Daphnia pulex: one gene and its partner. The protein of the gene in region 2 interacts with the protein of the main gene of each other region in a pairwise test. Links are inferred from orthologs where the notes say so. Each region holds a gene or a part of one and is shown on either strand. Other genes may lie near its edges.

What was found. The genes of interacting proteins can lie anywhere in the genome.
Region 1: the proteins of calcium-activated potassium channel slowpoke-like (region 2) and alpha-catulin-like interact in a two-hybrid assay, tested with the Caenorhabditis elegans proteins (2 studies listed by BioGRID, with this or other methods). The link is inferred for Daphnia pulex from reciprocal best matches to the Caenorhabditis elegans genes slo-1 and ctn-1.

What each region holds. Positions count from the first base shown.
Region 1 is NC_060018.1:8,603,082-8,613,351, forward strand, and holds the start of alpha-catulin-like, read right to left. Parts: upstream 6,816-10,270; 5' UTR 4,933-6,815; exon of another isoform or gene 4,870-4,932; 5' UTR 4,550-4,869; coding exon 4,322-4,549; intron 1-4,321. UniProt on the Caenorhabditis elegans protein: Required for slo-1 potassium ion channel clustering at presynaptic terminals and in egg-laying muscles; clustering of slo-1 mediates the intoxicating and sedatory effects of ethanol on worms.
Region 2 is NC_060025.1:7,403,802-7,414,071, forward strand, and holds the start of calcium-activated potassium channel slowpoke-like, read right to left. Parts: upstream 5,874-10,270; 5' UTR 5,040-5,873; coding exon 4,719-5,039; intron 1-4,718. Other genes in the region: protein alan shepard-like, read left to right, coding at 9,189-9,284, 9,359-9,676. UniProt on the Caenorhabditis elegans protein: Potassium channel activated by both membrane depolarization or increase in cytosolic Ca(2+) that mediates export of K(+). Its activation dampens the excitatory events that elevate the cytosolic Ca(2+) concentration and/or depolarize the cell membrane.

The DNA of each region.
Region 1 (10,270 bases), on a different chromosome or scaffold from region 2:
GTACATACCAAATTTGAAAGCATTTGGTTAAAAACTATAGTACTGAGAGGACTGCAAAAACAGCGTTTTTGCATAAGGTCCTCTCGGGCTTCCAAAGACTTTCGGTAGGTACTTTTTTGTTTTAATTCATTTGTTCTAGTGTCAGAATATCTTAATTACAATTTAGAATTTAGTAATTTTGACCACCGTTCTACTATCTTTCTTCTGGTAGCCTAGTAGTGGCACGAACCGAATAAAATTGTATTTAAAACTTTCTTAATCCAATTCTTAACCAATTAAATTGAAACTGTAATGTTTAATTACTCAAAATAATCCCATTATTGAACTTGTCTCGTTGTTCCGTAATTAGTTCTTCCATGCTGGGAAATATCAATCTCTATTTTTATTCAAATTTTCCTTTTTATTACATTTTAAGGGGATGTATAGTATTCTCAAGAAGGTATGGCCTAAAGACCGACTAATATTTGCCGACTTAGGGGTGCTTTAAATCTCTCCTACACGATGCGCGGTTCTGCACCGAACATAAAGGCGCATATGGGTTCTAAAGAAGATAGCAAATATCGATAAATGTCTATACAAGTAGTTCAAGTAACGTTCAGATGATGCACGGTTCAAGATAGTGCCCCTTCTATATAGAGAAAGAGATACACCACACCAACCACATCATAGGCATAATGGAACTTCCGAGTAGGATGAATTGTGAACATTAAAGCTCTCTGCTAGAGTTTTGGTGTAGGAGGTGATTCTGACGAAAAACTAGTAAAAAGGAAACAGGTTGCACGTTCAAGTTGCTTTCTCTGTTTTTTCCCCGGTTAAGTATGGGGGAATAAGCTCTATAAATAGGTTGAAATAAGGCCTAAACGCACCTAAAAGGGTCGACTGAAACAAGCAGAATCTCCGAGTCCGAGAGCGATAACTCGAATGGGCTTCTGTCGGCTATGGCAATTTTTAAGAGTAAGCCGGGGCAGACAGCAGGGCTGATGAGAAGTTTCAGGGAGATAACTGATAACTACACAATGTTGGTAGACCCTAAACTCCAAAGTAATAATATGAAACAGTGCCAGACCAGACTGCATTCCTCATAGCGAAAATAGCAAAACTTGAGACGACATCTGGCAGCATCATCTGGATGGATCAGACTGATGGATCAGAAACTGCTGTAGGCAACACAATTAAGTTTAGGTCTAAGTCTCACAAAAATAATGCCTGTCCGCCTGTTTTTATTTAAAAAAATCGAAAAATAAAAAAAAAACTCGCTCGAGACAGAAGGTACTCATCATAAGTGTTTGTCTCTAGTCCACATGCATATTCTCGCGAATGCATGTATCCTTATGTATGAGCGCACGCGCGCTTGAGAGTGTTTCGATGTTTACAGTCGATTTATCACATTGTTTAAGAAATGTGAGAAATTAAAAACAAAGGGAGGTATGAGCGCAAAAGAATAAACAAATATGTAAGGTAAAAGGAAAATCTTAAGTAGCCTATAATATCTCAGATACGTAACAAAGAAGATGTCGGAATTTTTCTATGCTATTTCTGAACAATCCTAGCCGTTTAAAGCATAAGATAGCTAAACATTAAAATAAAAAATAATAAATAAAAAAGCTGTTGTATAATTAGTAATTTTTTTCCTGTGTGATGTAGGCCTAAATAAAAGAAAGTATAGAAGAATTTAACCACAGTAGCAAGGAAACTAACCTCACTATAGTTTCATATTTTCATGTTTGAATCATCTTTGCAATTCAACAAAGTAAATAGAGCCATCTTTGCCTTAGCGCAGCAATACCGGAATAACCGTTCAAACTTACCCGAGCCTCAGACCTCCGGACAATGAGAAAAGTTGGTTAGTATAAAGGCTAGGTGGTTTGTACGATTTCACGCTCACGCCATCGGCTATACCGTGCTGTCATACCGTTTCTGTAGTGTGATGGACTGATAGAAGTTTGGTGGTTCTCGCAGCACCGCAGGCTACTGCTTGCTCGATCGATAAAGGTTAGCGTTAGCTGTTGCGGTAATTGGTACGTGTGATGGTTCGCTGTTGCTTCAGCTGGCTGTTGAATAGCTCAAGGACTGAGTTTTTTTTTCGGTTAATATTCTTTTCTGAAACAAGTTTACATTGCAGCAATGCACCATAAATGCGCAAATAGGCTGCAAATCCGAAATAGCGCCCAAGACTTAATATGTATGAAAATTGTAGAACGGCAAATATGATTTCAAAGCACAGGTCTAGGTTATTGGCGGTCTGCAAAGCAGTGCATTTGTTGACCCTACTAATCTTTCCGTAATGACATCAATGAAATCATCGTTTTTTTTATTTATTATTGCGATAAATATTGTGGATTCGGCTAACACGGCAAATATCATAATGCTACGCTTAATGAGAAATACTGAAATACGGCATGTATACGAATTTGAAATTCGAAGAACGTACGTTGTCTGAAGCCTGCGCCGTAACGCGGTATTTTATTTTGTTTTTATTTCGTGTACGTAATGCAGTATATTGCGAGTGAGCGAAAACAAGATCGCCATGCGCTGTTATAGCGACGATCTTGGTTGACGCTAGACGCCCTGCCATACAACATGGATTAAAGTGAATAAGAGTGAATAAGTCATCAAAAAGCAAGTAAAGAAAAAAAAAAACAAGTTTTGTCTCGAACTATACCCTTTGAAATGATTAACTGCAAGATGAAGCTCCAAAGTTACCACGGAAACAAGTAACTAAATTGGTTCAACTCCTTTCAGAACAAGAGTGAAACCGAGTGAAACTAATAGAGGAAAACTACAAAAGTAGTAGAACGCATTCAGTTAATTATGAGTGCTGTGCTGCTGCCTACTGGTTTTGTACGAAACGCTCTGCTGCAATCTACGTTTCAAAGAGAAAGAAATATTTGATTTCGAAAAAGAGCGTGCGGCTGAATGACTATAAATATCTTTCGGCGAAGAGAATCCCGCCTGTTCCACCTTATGGATGCCCGTTCCCGTATAGCACCGCCAGCGAAGAGCGGCGTGAAGTGCTGCCGACCGTCCCTTTGCTGTGACTTGTTCAAAAGACCAAGACTCTCTAAGGAAATTAATCCATTGCCAGCCAATGTACCATATATCCTTTTCTCTAAGCTCGATAGTACAATCGATCACGAATAAAGTAAGACGAGCGCATTGCAATCTCAATAAGACTAGCCTTCAAAGAGTCGCTGCCAGTCCGAGACAGCGGTTTTCTATAGATCTTATCTTGGTCAGTTTCTTACATCTTATATGTAGCCTATTCTCTTGTATCCTAAACGTAATTACTAATGTTTTGGCTTCTATGATTTTCAGTCACGCAATTGGTAATCAAGAATTATGTATGATTTTTGAATGCACATCAGTAATGTTTCAGTCAAATATCAGCACAGAAACCTACTGCACACAAAATAAATTTTCGATTTGGTAATGGGCTTAAGCTAAAGGGATCAAACTTCTGAGACTCCTTACGAAATCATAGTTCTATACATAGTGGTCTATGGGCAAACCTACGGCTGTAAATTGGTGTTAACTCCAATTCGCGAAATGCCATAAAATCGTCGGACGAAATTGGTGCAATATACCTGCTTACTGCAGGAAGCTCGACCTATTGCTCTTTCGTACTCGGCATGCGCTTCATCCCTGATAGCTTATTCGACTTCGTATATATAACCCAAGGATCAATGAGAAATCTTCCTTTTTCCCCGCTGCACACCAGATTCGGTGATTCGGTATGGTTGCGGGCGTAATAATATTACAAGACATGCAATATACATATAGAATTATATAGAACTTTCACACGAGTGCAGACTAGGCGTATATACACGTATATACGTAGACACAGACAGACGGGCGCTTGGATGTTAGATCTATATGAACTTCCATTTCGCCGGATTTCGCCACTCGGGCCGGCCCTTCGAGAAACTTGCCCATCGCCTAAATTTCGAATCGATGATAAATAATGTCCGTCACACAGCCTCATACTACCCGGAATATTGTCGACATGGCCATGACAAATCGAGGAAAAGCCCATCGGCTAGACTCCAAAAGGGAGGTGAACGAGAGAAAAGGAGGAGGCCTCCGACCAGCAGGTGAATGCTGGCACCAGCTGAATTATATAGGATGAGACGGTTCATCGTGGGCGTGTATATTGAACTGTGTTCTCTCGTCGGAAATGGCACGATGTCATTACACATAGGAGACCGAATGCATGCGAAAGTGCACAGCCGTACGTATATATCGACTCATGGTTTATGCCTATAGTGCTAAAGTATAGATATATATAGAAGCTTCTGCGTCTAGCGATTGCGTTTTCGCCTACCTGCGTGACGAGCGGTATGAGAGTTTGTTCGATACTCTTGGTGTGGATGCGAAGGCTGTGCAGCTCGGGCGGGCGAGGGCTGTGGCTGGCGAACGACAAACTATGGCCAGCCGAGGCATTATTGGACGAGGTCACGGCGGCGGCGGATAATAACGACGAGGATGATGATGTGGCAACAGAAGCAGCACTGGTGGCCGTTGCAGACGTGCAGGCCATTGAAGTTGCCATCGCTTTAACTAGCCAGTCCTCGAGTTCTCTGGCGTCTGCACGAATTCAACACACATAAATCCCTTTGTCGGACGATGACCGCATTCACTGTCCAACACTGGCCGTTGTTTAGCAAAGCGGCGCTACCACTTGAGCAGACAACGGTCGAACCCCAACTCGAACTCAAGTCGAACAGACAGCGCGATCCTTAACGATTGCACGTTCATCCTCTTCCGCTCCTTTTCCTCCCGCATCATCGGCGCCTATGTAGAGCCAGCCTATGGCCGATTCGTACAGGATTCCTGGTTCGATGCGCTCCAACTGGCTGGGACTACTCCCCCCTTATGACGTCAATCTTTAAATCAAATTCAACTCGCATCAGCTCCTAATAAGTAATAACTCACACGGTCAAACGTCGAATTTCTTCAGGTTGAATGTGCCAATCTCTTGTCGGGAGCTCCCAATGGCGCTGCTGCAACGTGATTTTCTCTGCGCCGTCCTTATATTGTACACGGGAGAATTTATAAGTCGTCGTCGGCTGTTTTCCCTTTCACTTTAGCATTTTTTTCCCGCTCCTTTTTTTGTGTACTTCCTTATTCATTTTTTTTCTCTATTGCTGACTCTTTTAGGCCTGTCTTTATCTGCTTGACTTTCCCGAGGTTTTTTTTTTCCCTTCCTCTTTGCCTGTATATCTCCTTACATGAGCGGTCACTCATTCGGAAGGGTGTCGTGTGTCTCGCCAGCTGGCGAATGTATAGAAAGAGGGCAGCACATGGTCTATCTATATATCGATCGGGACCGGTGGCACCCACCAGCAACAGCAATCCATAGTCCAGCTGATTGTCGGCTCGGCGTCTACAGACGTGAAGAATGCAGACGTGTGTGCGTAAGCTTACTGCACAGCAAGGATAAGTGTCCATCCACTTGGTGTATTGTCCCGTTTTCTTTGACCCGAGTGCTACTGCTTTAAGGAGCCGACAGATATAGGGTCGAGATGACCGCACCAGAAACAGAGCTAGAGAAACACAGCGCACATTCCGATACACATCACTTACGCAACCAAGGCACTCGATTTCACATGTAAATTCGCAAGTTTTCACTGAAATCATTAAAAAAACGTCAATAGATTAAACTTTTTCACTTGTCGATATCAGCTGACGTGAGAGAGGGGGAGGGGGGGGCACTGCTTTCCCTGCGATTGGATTACTGGCGGACGACCTCGAAATTAGGGTCGTTATAATTCAGTTTGGCATCAAAAGAATCTAGACACACCGCCTCTCTTCTCCCGTCGCGTAGACGATCCGTCCCTCCATCATCATGCGCACTCACCAAGGAATTCCTCATCTGGCTCTTTCTCTTTTTCTCTGCATTGTGTCACTGCTGTCGCCCTGTCGTCAGATGCCTAACTCACAAGATATAGTTTCGAAATTCAATCAGAGTTATTGCGGAGAAAACCAATAGTCCAAACTTCCAGCAACAGCGTGCTATACAGCGTTTCTACAGCCAGCAGCAACCCAACATCACACTCTACTGATTCTACACACCACAGGAGCAGTCAATGTCGGCTATTAGTTTCCCAGCCGAAGGTGCTGGATTTCTCGTTTGTTGTTGTCGCACTGGAAGACGACACACGCGTGGCGGCTCCTACTAGGCGTCTAGAGGTACTAAGGCGTTCAACACTTTGCTGGATAGTTTTTCTCGAGTCTCGGCCGACTGTCTCCTGCCGACGGTTTGTTTTTGATTTGTGTAGTGCCGGGCTTTTTTCTTGCTGTGCGTTGGCCTCTTCTCTCTCTCTCTCTCTCTTCTCTCTGCGCGACTTTGTCTTGCCTTTTGTTATTGTTGTCCTTGTTGTTTCCTTGGGGCTTCCTTTTCTCGCTTTCTGGCCTTTCCCGAAATACCCAGCTCGATAAAGGAATGAACCACAGCACTGCTGGTGTCGGGAGAAGGAGCTTTGGCACGTTCCTGCGGCCGGCCGCTTTCACCGCCACTTTCGACGGAAACTCGACGCCGAATGAGCAACATCAAGCCCCTGGCAGTGCCGTATATCCCTCCTGATGTATACTGATGAAGCAGTGTGGTAGCAGCGGCACTAGTAGCCTAGTAGCACTCGTCGCAGCAGCAGCCCAGCCCAAACAAACGTCGAAGCAGCACAGCACGCAGCGACTGACGACGACGACTTCGGTGACAGTCTCTCTCTATACTGATCTCCACTCACGACCGCTCACGACGAGTTTCCCAGTTCTGACGCTCTTCCTTCTCCACAGAAGCCAGTCATGGTTCCTCGTCCTCTGCAGCTGCTCTAAGTCTCTTCAACTCTGCTACGAACGAAAAAAAAAATGAAAAATAAAATAAAAACGAAAAAAAAAAGAAAAAGAGAGAAAGAGAGAGAGAGCCAGTCGGTTTGGCGTTCAATGCATGTTTTGGTCCTTCTCCTCAGACATTCCCGTTCGTACAACTCCCACCGATTCTCCCTCCCCACACCTTGTCCTCCTCCCACCCAGCCCCCTTTGATTCCTCCTCTTTTTGGCTTCCTTGATAATGGCAAAGTATTTTTCCCATTCTTTTTTAGGAGAGAAGAGTGGGTGGAATGGGAGAGGGGGGCCGGGTGTCGGGATCGCGGGAGTTGGAAGAGTTTGGATTTGGGAGGTTGGTTGGTTGGTTGGATGGTTGGAAGAGAGAAATTTTTCTTTTAGGTTTCTTCTCTTGTGTACATTACACACGCCCACGTCGTTCTCATGACGAGTCGAGTCCTATGGCCCGTCTCTTTTTCTCTTCAGCTGCCTCTCTCTCTCTTTCTTCCACTGATGCACGCGGGAAAAAAAAGAGAAGAGTGAGAGAGAGAGAGTCGCATATGTACATGTACAATATGCCGGGGCCGAGCAAAACTCGCTTTATGTATTTGATGCTATTTTAGCCTGGGCACGGGCGTTGAACGAACGACGACGTGCAGCCACTCCATCTAGCCAGCTTCGCAAAGCCGAGCGTGAACTCGTATTAGCTCCCGCTTCTGGTTTCGCCTCTTATCTTAGTCAGACACTGTTGCCTACTGTACATCTCTCTCTCTCTCTCTCTCCTCCCAAACCTCCCTCCTCAAGTCATACGAATGAATAGCCCAGCCCTCTTGATCTAAATATGTATACCATTGTGTGCGGTTATGGAGCCAATATTCTTATGGTTCACAAATCGCACCGAAGATTCTCGCCTGTATACCCTTTTGGAATCCCCCCCCCCACCGCCATCATCAATAAACGTTACAAATAATAATACAAAAAAGTCTTACTACTCATGAACTATAATTCATTGAAAACCCCTTTCTTCTAATTAGGTTGGCGTCCTGCGTATATGGAGAGACATCCGTTATGGTATATTTGTTCTGCATTACCATTTGAGATATCATGCTGCATCTCGAGTCTCGAGTCTGACAGTCGCTCTGCTCTGCTGTACCATCGTAAGTTACAGGCAGGCGCAAACTGCAGCCTAGTCGACTCATCTGCAACTCTCAACTTTGTTTCAGAGCGAGAAATCAAATAACGTCCTACATAACTTGAATTCAATTCCTGGGAAAAGCTCCATTACATAGAAACTTAGTAATTGGTGTAATTATACGGATTCAAGTGTAAATAGCGTTACAAAATAGTTATTCACTTAGTTCAAATATTATGTGGGCAAGAAATTATCGAAAGATTCGCTCTCTAAAAGTTTTGGCGAAGACTGGAGACACGACCGACTGATTTAGTCGTAAAAATGGGAAGCTTATACTGGTATACTCACCTTTCCGACTTCCAGTTTAAGGGTTAATACGACGCAACACTTTATTTCCGCATAAATTTCCACGTCTGTGTAAGACCTGCTTCGTTTTATTTACCCTCTCTTATTTTCCCTTTCTACGAGATTTCGAGGAAACTCTTAAAAAAAGGAAGACGCAAAATACATTTTGGTGAACACATTTACACTAAGAAATCCATGATCGAAATTGGCTTATTATTTGGTATATTCCGTGTTGACGTAAATTATGACGCATATCGCAAACCATGCTCAGTACAGCAGGGAATCCCTTGGTTCCTTTTCTTCGCATTACTGCTTATAGTGCTTGCTGTGAAGCTCTCGAACCAAAATAGAATCCAAACGAAACTATATAAGAGTCTGATGTTGCATGTGTGTGTTTTATCTAGCTTCAAAAAAAGGCGGGCCTTGCCTCGTTGTCGGGCTTTCTCATTTCCCTGACTTATTCTTGTCCTCTTCAACCAGCTAGTTGAAGAGAATGAATAGCAGACGCGTCAAACATAAGAGTTGTGTAGTTACATATTAAGCTGGTAAATATAGAGGTGTTTGGGTTTTCAAATATTTTCCAAGCCCCGGGAAAATATAGCGAGAAGCGATATGTGTTGCTGGTCTGTTTGATCGATATCAACTTATTATATAACTACAAATTATAAATATGTTGAAAATACAAAAAATTTGCGAATTTTTTCGTTAGGTGTAAAATCCTTTTTTGTCAAGACGATGATTTTTGTTATCAAAAGTTAGTGTAATAGGGTTTTACGCTACGTTGGTGTCCTGATGAGAAAAAAAATCAACCGATCCGTTATAACGAGATCGCTTTCTTTCTAATATTTATTAAATTTATATAAGTTTCCGAAATTTTCACAGAAAAAAGCAGGCGACCATTTTCCCCAAATACACTTTGACACCTCCCATTATAACCAGTGTTTGCTGAATCACGATTTTTTTGATTTATGAATCAAAATCATAAATCATTTTTTAGAAATTTTAGATGAATCAAAAATTAAATCAATAATCAAATAAATTTTTGATTTAATTTATAAATTAGGGATCCGGATACAAGTAATTATTTTCACTAGTAAATATGGTATCAAGCTCTTTCAAAATTTTGTTTTATTGAAATTAAGGACACAAGTATTTTTGTTCTTAAGTAATTATGGACTGTTGTATTTAAAATTTTTAATAATTCGGGCTTTAAGTAATTCATGCAACGTGTATTTAGTCAAATACTCGCTAGTAATTATGGTCACCAGTTATTAAAATTATGTTCACAAATAATAGGTTCTATTAGTACAATTGTTCGTAAGTCACTAGCAATGACTTAAGTAATTATATTCTTAAGTAATTGTTCTCTTAAGAAATTATTTTCTTAAGTAATTATTCTCACAAGTAACTATTTTCTTAAGTAATTATTATCTTATGTATTTACACGGTGTAAACACTTTTATTATTTTGTATTTAGAGAATTAAAGTGAAACGTCATTTATTGATTGCGTTATTGCGTAGGTTCAGGTTGCGTACAAACTTTTACGCGTTTGCAGGTTTAAGAACGCGCCTGGAAATTACATCAACAGTTTCGAGTTGTCTGCTTGTAACTTGTCAGTTTGTTTTTTTCCAAAAGTCAGACAAGAGTTAATTGCTGGTTAATTGAGTCTCAAAAGTGAAAATAGGCGTTGTTTGTGAAAAATATTTTGTCTTGGGTAACATATTCTCTTTCTTTATAAGTAGACGTAAGATAACATTTATGTTGATAACAAAATGTTTGTTTATTCTGTCTATTTGTTAAGAATCAAATTGTTGGTAGACCCAAATTGTTACACCAGTTAAAGGAAACAGGAGTTTCATCAGAAGAGATTCAGCATCATCAGTACTACAACCAGGTGGTTTTGGATGTCAAACAAATTTTAAAATGCTTCCCTCCAGGTAGCTATAATATTTCTTTTATGTATATTTTCTATT
Region 2 (10,270 bases):
CGCAGTTTCCTTATCTCATCGGCTTTGCCAGTCAGTCAGTCAGTCAACTCATTCTTCCGCTTCACGCGCCGCTATCGTCGTCGTCCCCTCAATTGATGCCGGTCGAACCCACCCCCCAGCAGCTCTCCAATCGAGACGGAAGCGCTCGCGGATGGCCCCTGTGTGTGTGTTGCGCAATGCCTGCTGCTGCTGTGCTCACCCCCCGGCACTCACACCGCGCCGATATATAATAATGAAGGACGTATAGACGAAGGCCAAAGGTGAGCGCTAGCGACGCATATCAACAATGGCGACCTCTTGGCTTTCTCTCTCTATATATAAGAAAAGCTTTTGTCTCATCCATTTTCTCGCCGTGTAATCATCTTTTTGTTTTTTGCATGTGGGGTAGCAGTTTTTTGTTACCCAACTGATGATTTATAATAGACGCAAATTCCACAGATGCTATATGACGATGTTAATTCAATTAAAAAGTGTTGAATATAATATCTATGCGCGCGCGGCTATGTAGTATAGGCACAGTGGGCGCTGTTTTATTTCCAGCAGAACATTTTTCATTAGAGAGAAAAGGCTGCGGAAAATTGTAACCAGCTGCTGGAACGTGAGAAATGAGGAACACTGGCGAGCGCGAGAGTGGTGGGGGGCTAAGACACAGAGTTCTATTTTCATTCAGCTGCCGCTGCATGCTGCTGCTGGACTGGGCCGCCGCCGTGCTGCTGCTGCTGGGGAATCAACGCAGCAGTTGTGGGTCTCATTTCTTTCTGTTGCTTTTCCCCTTCCTTGATGCTTTTTCATCTGGCAAAAATGTGTGTTTCTCACAGCAGCAGAGAGATCACGTAATAAAATAACTATTTCAGAACAGCAAAGTGACAGATTGAAACCCCTTCTATAGTTCCAGATTGAAAGAATTCCGTGTCTGTACGTCTATAATCTACACACAAAATATATATAACGGCCGACTGCTATGGATATGTAGAGTTATTATAGTATATTTTATCTAACGGAAAATGGTGCTGTGTGCTGTGTAGTACGTATAGTATAAATATTTCTAGACTGCGCTATACATCTATTGATTGGGTGATTTGAATGTCGTGTTAGAGTCGTTTGATATATAGCCACGCTTTTATATAAAAGCCAAAGTCAATGGCAGCTGTTGTGTGTATCTACACAACAACAAGGTCTCCCAAGTTTGTTCCATATATTCTTATCCCTTTTTTGGGTTTTTCGGTTGTTTTATATTTTTATTTCGTATACGTATTTTATATTATACAGCATTTCTCGTTTCCCCCCCATCTATTGATCCACAGTTGATGATAGCCAAGGATTTCTTTTTTCTTTCTTATTCTTTTTTCTATAGCCCCGTCTGTTTCTTATAAAGCTCGTTCACATATATATGTAAGGACATCTATATAGTCTCAACGATCGACAGAAATATTCAGCTCTATACCATAAAGTATCTATACGTGGCACACGTTGAACGTTGGCGTGTGCCAAGAGGACGATCGACTGGCTGATGTATCCTACTCTTTCTCTATAGGCTGGACGGCCCACAGCACACTCGACCGATGACATGTCGAATATCTAGAGGAAGTAGGAGAGTCCTAGATATAGGATACATAGCAGCAGCAGCTCTTGGAGGACAGCAGCGGAGAGCGCTGCGCACAGACGGGCTGTATACTATATATGCGGTATTGATTGGTGCTGCATTTCATAACGGCCGGCCGCCTATACATCCCTGCTGCGCTGGCTCCTGCTGTCGACTACATCCAGCACACACGGCTTCTTCTTCGTTTTCCCCGCAGCACACCACACATATCAAAATTGTGCCCGAATATATATATACATATACTCCAATAGATGACTATATAGTCACAACTGGCTGGCCCACATGCCGTGCCGCATGCCCGGCATCAAAGTAGTACTCTGGCCACCAGATTATAATAGACACAGACGAAGCCCTATATACCCCCCCAAGTCTCTTGGCTATATAACAGCAGCGGAAAGAGTCTTAACAAATGCTTACATCACTTCCTGCCAAGACATCAGCACGACCGCGTCAAATGTATATAGACTTATGGCGAACCCCCCCAACCTCGCCGAAAAGACTTGATCAACATATAATCTCTTGTGTGTGCTGTTTTTATTTTTTTGATTATTTCTTGATCCGCCCAAGGCATCAGTTGTCTTGGCGACCGCGTGTATTTAGTGTATATGTATAGCTATATAGAGAGACGGCATTGACCTATAGCTTTCTATTTCTTTTGATTATTATTACATGTTCGTCGTGTAGGCAGCAGTAGTATATGGACTGTGCTGTGGCCGGCAGCCAGCCAGCCCAGCACATCACTTGTACTACTATTATACACTCCGCCTCTTTTTTGTTTTCCTGCTGCGCGTAGCCCGGCAAAATGTTGCACAAGATTCCGCGCGTGCTGCGCGTCGTTTTTCCAACGGTATAGGATATAATATAACAGACGCGGCAGCAGTGCTGGCAGCAGCGGTGTGTGCTGCTGCTGGAGATGCGCTGGCGGGGCTGGGCGCGCGCGGATCAATCGATGTCGCGCTTGCGGCCCACAGACGCGACCGCTTTTCTCTCTCTTTGGCGCTGGCCTATGCTGGCCGTTGGGCTCTCTCTGTGTGTGTGTGTGTCTCATACATACATAGCGCCGGGTCGAAATAATATACATAAAATTGACAGCAATAATAATCAGAAGCTATTTTCTATATGACAAAAAGGCTTTTGACTATAAACTTTGAGTCACTTATATAAAAGAGACAGAGTGGTGCGAGCTGATTTGATGGGAAGATGCCGGAATTTCTACCGGTAATCATTTTCGCCATTCAGTAATATAGAGTATGTATAGGCATTTAGACTTGCGGGGAAATGTGGCTTGGATTTCATATATAATATGTAATAATAATAGACTATTGGTAGGATATCTATCGAGGCCTATATTTAAGTCTATAGCGATACATCATACGAAATCGTTAAGGGGGGATTTTTGGGGCCTTTACAGAAAGATCAAAGACGTTGAAAAGTGAGGGGAAAAAAAGGGGGGGGGGGAAAGCTATCTAGATATTTGATTCGACACTCGAAGGAGAGAGAAATAATAAGCGCTAGGCATTTTTATATTCGCGCGTCTTCTCTGCTCCTTGATTTCATTGCCAGACACTATAGGCTGGCGCCATTTTTATTTTTTTTAAGATCGCAACTTCCTTCTTCTTCGTGTTCAATTGAATTTGCGCTGCCGAGAAAATTATGGGAACTAAAAAAAAATATTTTTCCTTTTCTTTTTTGGAGGGGAAACCTTTTTTTTGTAGAGAGAGTTTCATTGATTATTGCCCCGCGCCGTGTCCGTTTTGTTTGGTTTCTTCGTCGTTATATATTGAGCGCCCGGCTATCGATGATTTTTCGTCTCTTATTTTGCCACCCGTTTCGGACTCGATGTGTATATAACGGCGGGAACCAGCTCTCTCTCTCTCTACGCGTTTTATGTGCTGGTGCTGTGCTGTGTGTGTGTAAAACAGCTGACGCAGTATTGATTGGGACACACCACACATAGAGTCTATATACTCTAAAGGGGAGAAACTATAAAACTAAACGCACAGCACAAGGAGAGAACGCACATCGTCTCAACGACCCCCCTCCAAAAAAAGGGAAAAGTCAAAAGAAGAAGAAGCCCCTCATCCAGCAACGAAGGTGCCAATACTACTCAAATAAATCCCTCGACAAGAATTCTTCTTCTTCTCCAGACTGCTGCTGCAAGATGATGGAAAGGCCGACGAGCGAAATTCTATCCACTTTTAGGCTTTTTTCTTTTGAATGAATTCACATCTAGAGGGGGGTACTGTGGCCGACCCGTGCACACATTAGACATTACACAGAGAGAAGAGAGGAGAGAGCGAGTCCAGCACACCAGCAGGCGCATGCATCTCTATAGCTTGAGCACAGACACACAGCGAGTTGCAACGCACGGGCAAGAGAGAGACGAATTATCGATCCGGCTGGCGATCAATAAGAAATATACACAACTCGGTGAGAGAGAGCTCTAGAGCTGTGATGTGCTCCACATCTTCCTGGGATGCTGTTTTTTCCCCTAGATATATATTTTCCCTATAGCTCTTTTCTTGATTTCTTAGATCAACAAAAACAAATGCGACTTGTACAACTTGGTGTGTGTATTGATGATTTATTTTTCTTTGTATATTTGTGATGGGTCTGATGTGTGTGCTGTGTGATGAGGATATATTCTCGGGTTGCCTCATCAGCCAAACTATTTGGCCTACTATACACGACCACCACCACCACTGGCTGTGTGCTTAGATTTTCCATTCACACACACATATTGGCTGTGCTGCTGCTGTGCACACACACACAAGGTTTGTCGGTCTCCTTATTTTCTATAATTCGCCAGCACGATCTCTGCTGTGGCCGGGATTTGATGCTGAGAAAAGCGCTGGGAATTCAAGTGGGCTTTTTCGTCTGCCCTCTGATGTGCTCGTGACGCGTGACCTCATCTATACGCCAAAGACAATGGGCCACCACCGACGACACAGTTGGCCGTCTCTACTACCTTGACACGCTATCGACCCCCTACCCATCGCAGTAGTCACGCGTTTCTTTAGCCCATCGAAATGATTTCCGCATGTATAATATAGTTTGTATCATAGGCTTATATTTGATGGAATCTATTTGATTGGATGGATGGATAGAAACTCACCAGGATGCGTCCAGTGGTGGTCTGTCCGGAGATGAGCTCGCCGGCCCAGTCCTTGGCGTCGGTGACGAAAGTGCCTTCGAACTCCTCCTTGGCTTGGCGCGGCGGTTTGGGCAGGTTCTGCTGCTTGAGGTCACTCTGGCTGTACTCGGGCGAAGCGTCTTTACGGCAGCAGATCATGGACAGGCCGCGCCAGATGAGGACGATCGTGAGGCCGGCCAGGAAGGTGAAGATGCTGGACAGGAGGAAGCACCACCACTTGCGGTCCTTGAGGCATTCCTCCTCCTCCGGCGAGAGGACGTAACCTTTGCCGTCGTCCGACATCTTGTGGTGTGGGTTCGTGTGGTGATGGCTGACGAAGTGGTGGTGGTCCGGTTGGTCGTGCTGATCTTGCGTGAACTCCACTTTGAAAAATTTGACTTGACTTTTTCCAAATTCAAATTCAATTAAAAAAAAAACTAAAAAAAACTAAAAAAAAAAAAAAAAATTCCAGGAAAGTTGAACCCAAACACAAATTTTTTTTTTTCGATAGGATTTTTCACTTCAAATAAAAAAAAAAAAATATAATAAAAAAAAAATTTCCGGAACCCCCAGCCCTATAGCCCGTGACTACGGCTGCTCTTGTTGAAGCTTGGCCGTCACCGGAATCAAAAAAAGGGGGGGCTGAATGGGGGGGGGGGGGAGGATCGGCGGCAGCTACAGGGCGAAACTGTTACGACGGATTGCAACGATCACGTCCAGCTGATGATGTGGTCTCGGTCGATTTCTCACTTGTCTGATTGGTTGCGACGGCACCGTCGACAATGCTGGGCCGTAGGTGAGTAGGACGGAACAAGGCGAATAATGTCCACTTGATCGGCCGCTGCTGCCGCCGTTTTCCTTCGTCTTGTGTGTCGCTCTCACCAACTGCTGCGTTCCAATAATTCGCACTGCACTGAAGCCGCACATCGGGAACGCAACGCGAGGGGGGCGACGGCCAACCTCAGAAAAAGATCCGGCGGTGGCAGTCGGCACTTGTCGAGTGAGGAGCAGCCGCGAGCGGAAAAAAACACCCAAGGATCTCCTCACCGCTCGACGTCGTCGTCGTCGCCGTCGCCAGGCTGACGCGCATCGCCGCCGCACCGGGATCGCGCACGTCCGTTCCCAACCATGGCCGCGCTCAATATCTCCGCGCCGTGCCCATCAGAGAGAGGGCAAATAGGAGGAAACCGGGAGGAAACCGGGAGGTGGGTGGGTCCTTACCATCCCACCCCTTTTGACTCCCGCGTTCCGTTATCTTATAGGCTGGAGCCCTGCCTGGCCCGATTGGTCCCGAAGAGAAAGAAGTTCAACCCTTGTACATGTTATATATACTATATAGACGACTACTACTACTATACTACTACTACTCTAGACTCTAGACTCTCTCGGCACAAGCAGCCGAGACCCGGCCAAAACTTCTTGTAGCTTTGCTGGCTTCTCTTTTCTTTTTCTTTTCTTTTTTGTATTTTGCCCAGGACTTTTTTTTTTTTTTCTTTGTCCCTGGGCTGGCACACAGCACACTAGAACGTGAAGTTCTTTTTTTCTTTTCTTTCAGCTTTCACGCTGGTAGCTTTTTGGTATATAAGTTGGTGGGAGCAGAAAAAGGAGAGAGATGGCAACTGGCAGATCCATCTAACGGACTTGATTGAAAGGATCTAACATTTTGTCATGTTTTGGATCATATAATATACAGAGAAACTTGGTGAGTCCTTCTCCCAGCAGGAGCAGTTGCGTCCCGCGGACCGAGGAGTCGATCAATAATTTCAATGACTGACGCAGTGACGTATAAAGTATATGTGTGTGTGTGTGTAGACCAGGTCGCTGAAAACACACAACGCCATGTCGATCAATAAGTTGACTTTTATTTTCTATTCTCTCTTCTTCATTTCCTGGTATTGTCAATCGACTGTGTCGAGAAACTCGGTCCGACGACGTAGTCAAAGTCGGAGAAAAACGCTTCGACTTTCATTTTAATTCCACCAATTCATTAGATCATTAGAATCTATGCACACATGCCGATCGATACTATTGATGGGCCATGGTCATTTCTTATTGAAAGTTGTCGACTTCAAAACTCGATTGGCGGCTGTGTCCGATGGAATTAGTTCCGCATTCGATGATAATGGATGTCATCAATGCACTGCATATTTAATTGGCCCAATCCACTTAATATGGGGGGGGGGGGGAGACATGTAAAACAGAGGGGGGAACACGCACACCCAACTTAGAAATACACTTAGATTAATTAAGGCACGCTATCGGATGCTCTCCGTATCAATATTTGGAGGCAAGCTGCTAGACTGCTGGACAACAAGAGACAAGTACATGCCGGAGTCCGTGCCCCCACCCCCTCCGGCTCGTTACGGACGATTATGCAGCTTTCATTAACAGAGAGTTTAGCAATCCGAATTACTGGTCCATTCACAGCAGACGAGTACCAGAAGAATCTAAGGGCCTCCCATTATTTTCCTTGTTTCCTTATTCGTTAAAAAATAATTAACTACATAATAGAACGCGTGTCGGAATAGATAGGGGGGTCATTGAAGTCAAAGTATTTTTTTTTTAGGAGGTTTCTGTGATCGCAACACTGAGATGAGAAATTGCTCTCGTTTCCTACTAGCTCTCTTTCTCTCCAGTTCGACTTTGTTGCCTTTGGAATTTCTCTAATCACCGAGATTAGATTGCTGCTGATTTGAAATAGCAAGAAGAGTGTGTGTGTGTCGGGGGAAAAATTCCTTAAGTGGATTCCTCATTTTTTGTTGTTGTCGTTTCGGTTGGGAAATCAGCCACGATTCCTGCGCCATCTACCGTTCAGAAAACTTTTCAAAATTTAATTGATTTAACGAGGTAAGAAATAATTCCCGGATTAATTTTAGTCATTCAGTTTTTAGGTCTATTAATTGACGTTACAAAGAAATAAGGGTTTTTTTTTGGGGGGGGGGGATTTATTTTAATTCGGTTATCCGAAATGTATTTCGATGTCCTTGCCAAATATTCGTTCTTCTAATAAAAGTTCAGGTTGCCAAAGCAACGCATGCAAAACTTTCAAATCATGAAATCACATATAAAAATCTAAACAGATAGCGTTCGAAAAGTGCAGCGGGAAATAACCAAGTCGACGTAGTTTTATAAACCACCGCTAGATGTCTCTTGCGCATGTTTGTTGTTTCTTTCTCAAAGCCTTTTCCGCCTCAAAGTCACCCGTCCCCGCCTCTCCCCCCCACCCCACAAACAGTATATTTACACACACACACACAACGAATGTGTGCAATCTAGCACACACACACACTCGAGCCCATTTCCGCTGCCGAAATAAAAATAAAATCTCTAAAGGATTTGTTTATGTAGGCCCACATTCGGTGAGAAGAACTCGGTGGGCCAGTTGACTAGATTTTTTCCCCCCTTTTTCTTCACCCCAAAAGTTCTTCGTACACACACACCAGTGTGTAGAGTGTGTGTGTTGCACACAGCTTAAGGGGGAAACCGGGACCTACGTGTGTTCCCACCCACTTTGGTGCTGTGTGTGTGTTGTCCAAACTGTCAGTGTATTCAGTGTCTTTCAAAAAAAGAAGACTTGCTCTGAAAATTGTCGTGTTTTCATGTCAATGTTGTCGACGTCGAGTGTGTCGGTTCGATCGAAAACGGATGCCAATGCTGGCAGTTGTGTCGATGTGCAAAAGCGAATAGATCAAGCCATTCATCTGCTTTGAAACCTGAAAGCAGGTTGGATCAGCCAGACGATTCCATTTAGACAATTGGTGTGTTCATTTCCTTCTTGTTTTATTGTCTTTTTTTATCTTTTTAGTTGTTCCTGCTGCAGAGAGACTCATTGGTTGTGCGTCTGTCCATGTTCTGACGACTCCCCAAACAACTTCCAATTAGTGCCTGTGTGTCCTGCCCTGCCGGTCAGTCAGCCTCAAAATCTGCAACATCACAACTCATCGTTGGTGTGGCCATCCCAAGTGTGCAGATGAACACGAGAGCCTGGTGAGAGTCTGCCTGCGGTTGTTGTTGTTGTGTGAGACTGCGATTTGACTGGAGTGTGCCCCTGCAGCACTGGAACGCCAGCAGGTTGGCATTTTGTGTGACAGCTTCGTCCACACCCAATTACCAGAGCTACACAGTGACACGTGCGTGTGGGGCTTGTTTCCTGGTGCGTCGCCAGTTCGACGCCGTCCGAAAGAAAAAAAAAGTTATAAAAAGAAACGCACGAGGTTCGTCGACCAGCTTGAGAGAAAAAAAGTTGAAAAGGAGAAGAGCCGGAAGAACGGAAAGTGCACACATACGTGGGATTTCCCACCTGGAGTGGACGTGAGAGGACGAAGAACTATGGCGTTTTGGTGAATCCCGACAAAACTCTTTTTCGTCCTTTTTTTTTATTCCATCACCCACCAACTCATTCCACCTCCCCCCTACCATCCGTCAGTCATCTGTGGAGACTCAAGAAACGTCATGAGTCAATCTGTCCAAGTGGACGCCCACTCTATCGACACGCCCCCCGTTGCTGATCCCTTATCCCTGGATACGTTATCCTCCTCCTCGCATTTGGTATGCCATCCAAATTGTTTTGGGCGAAAATTAAATCTCTCATTCAATCTTTTTCTTTATTTTCTTTTCTGTAGAAGGAAGCAACGACTGATATGAGTTCATCCGACTCTTTGGCGGCAGCAGCAGCAGCAGCCACCAGTGAAAAATCGTCGTCCAACCGTGTCGTCGCCCAGAGAACTCCAGCAGGTGGTTCGAATCATCTTCCATCAGCAGCAGCAGCAGCAGCGGCTGCCGGCCACCAACAACAACAACAACACCGGACGGCCATCAACCGCAGTAACACTTCCGGCGGTGAAGGAGGTCTGGTCATGGTGGCTACGTCGCTCGCTGCTGCTTCTTCTTCTTCAACAACTCCGTCCAGCCGGGCCAATAGTGCCGAACCCTTCAGCAATGTAAGAAAAAAGACAAAAACCCCCCCAGAAACACTTCCTCTCCATTTTTATATTCCTTTTTCTAACCGGAAATCGCTGTTACTAACACACACACACAACTCGATGACTCGTAAAGGAATTGAAAAAAAACAAAACCAAATTTAGAACAGGCGAGGGAATTCGGAAATGTTCAGATTCTCTCAATAAAATGGGGCTCATTAACATGGAAGTAGAAACAGGTTTTTTATCTCTTGTGTTTATACTGTACTAGAGAGCTAGACATTCCTAAATTTTTCTCTTTTTTTTTTTTGGAAATGGAATGTCAACGTTCCATTGTCATGGCCGATCAGTCAACTCCTTTTATTTTTTGTCAGTCCATAGAAAGAAAAGAAAAACAAAACCAACAGAAAAATGATTTTTTCTCGTTTTGTTTTGTTTGTTTGTTTTTTTCTGGGGGGAAAAGGGGAAACATTTCTCGTGTAACCAATCGAGGAAGGGCCCACACATGCACCACACACGGAAGGCGAAACGAAGGAAGACTAGTTGAAATGTTGGACGAATGTGAAGAAGAAAAAGAACGTGAAAAAAAAACTAAAAAGAAAAAATCGCCTAAGG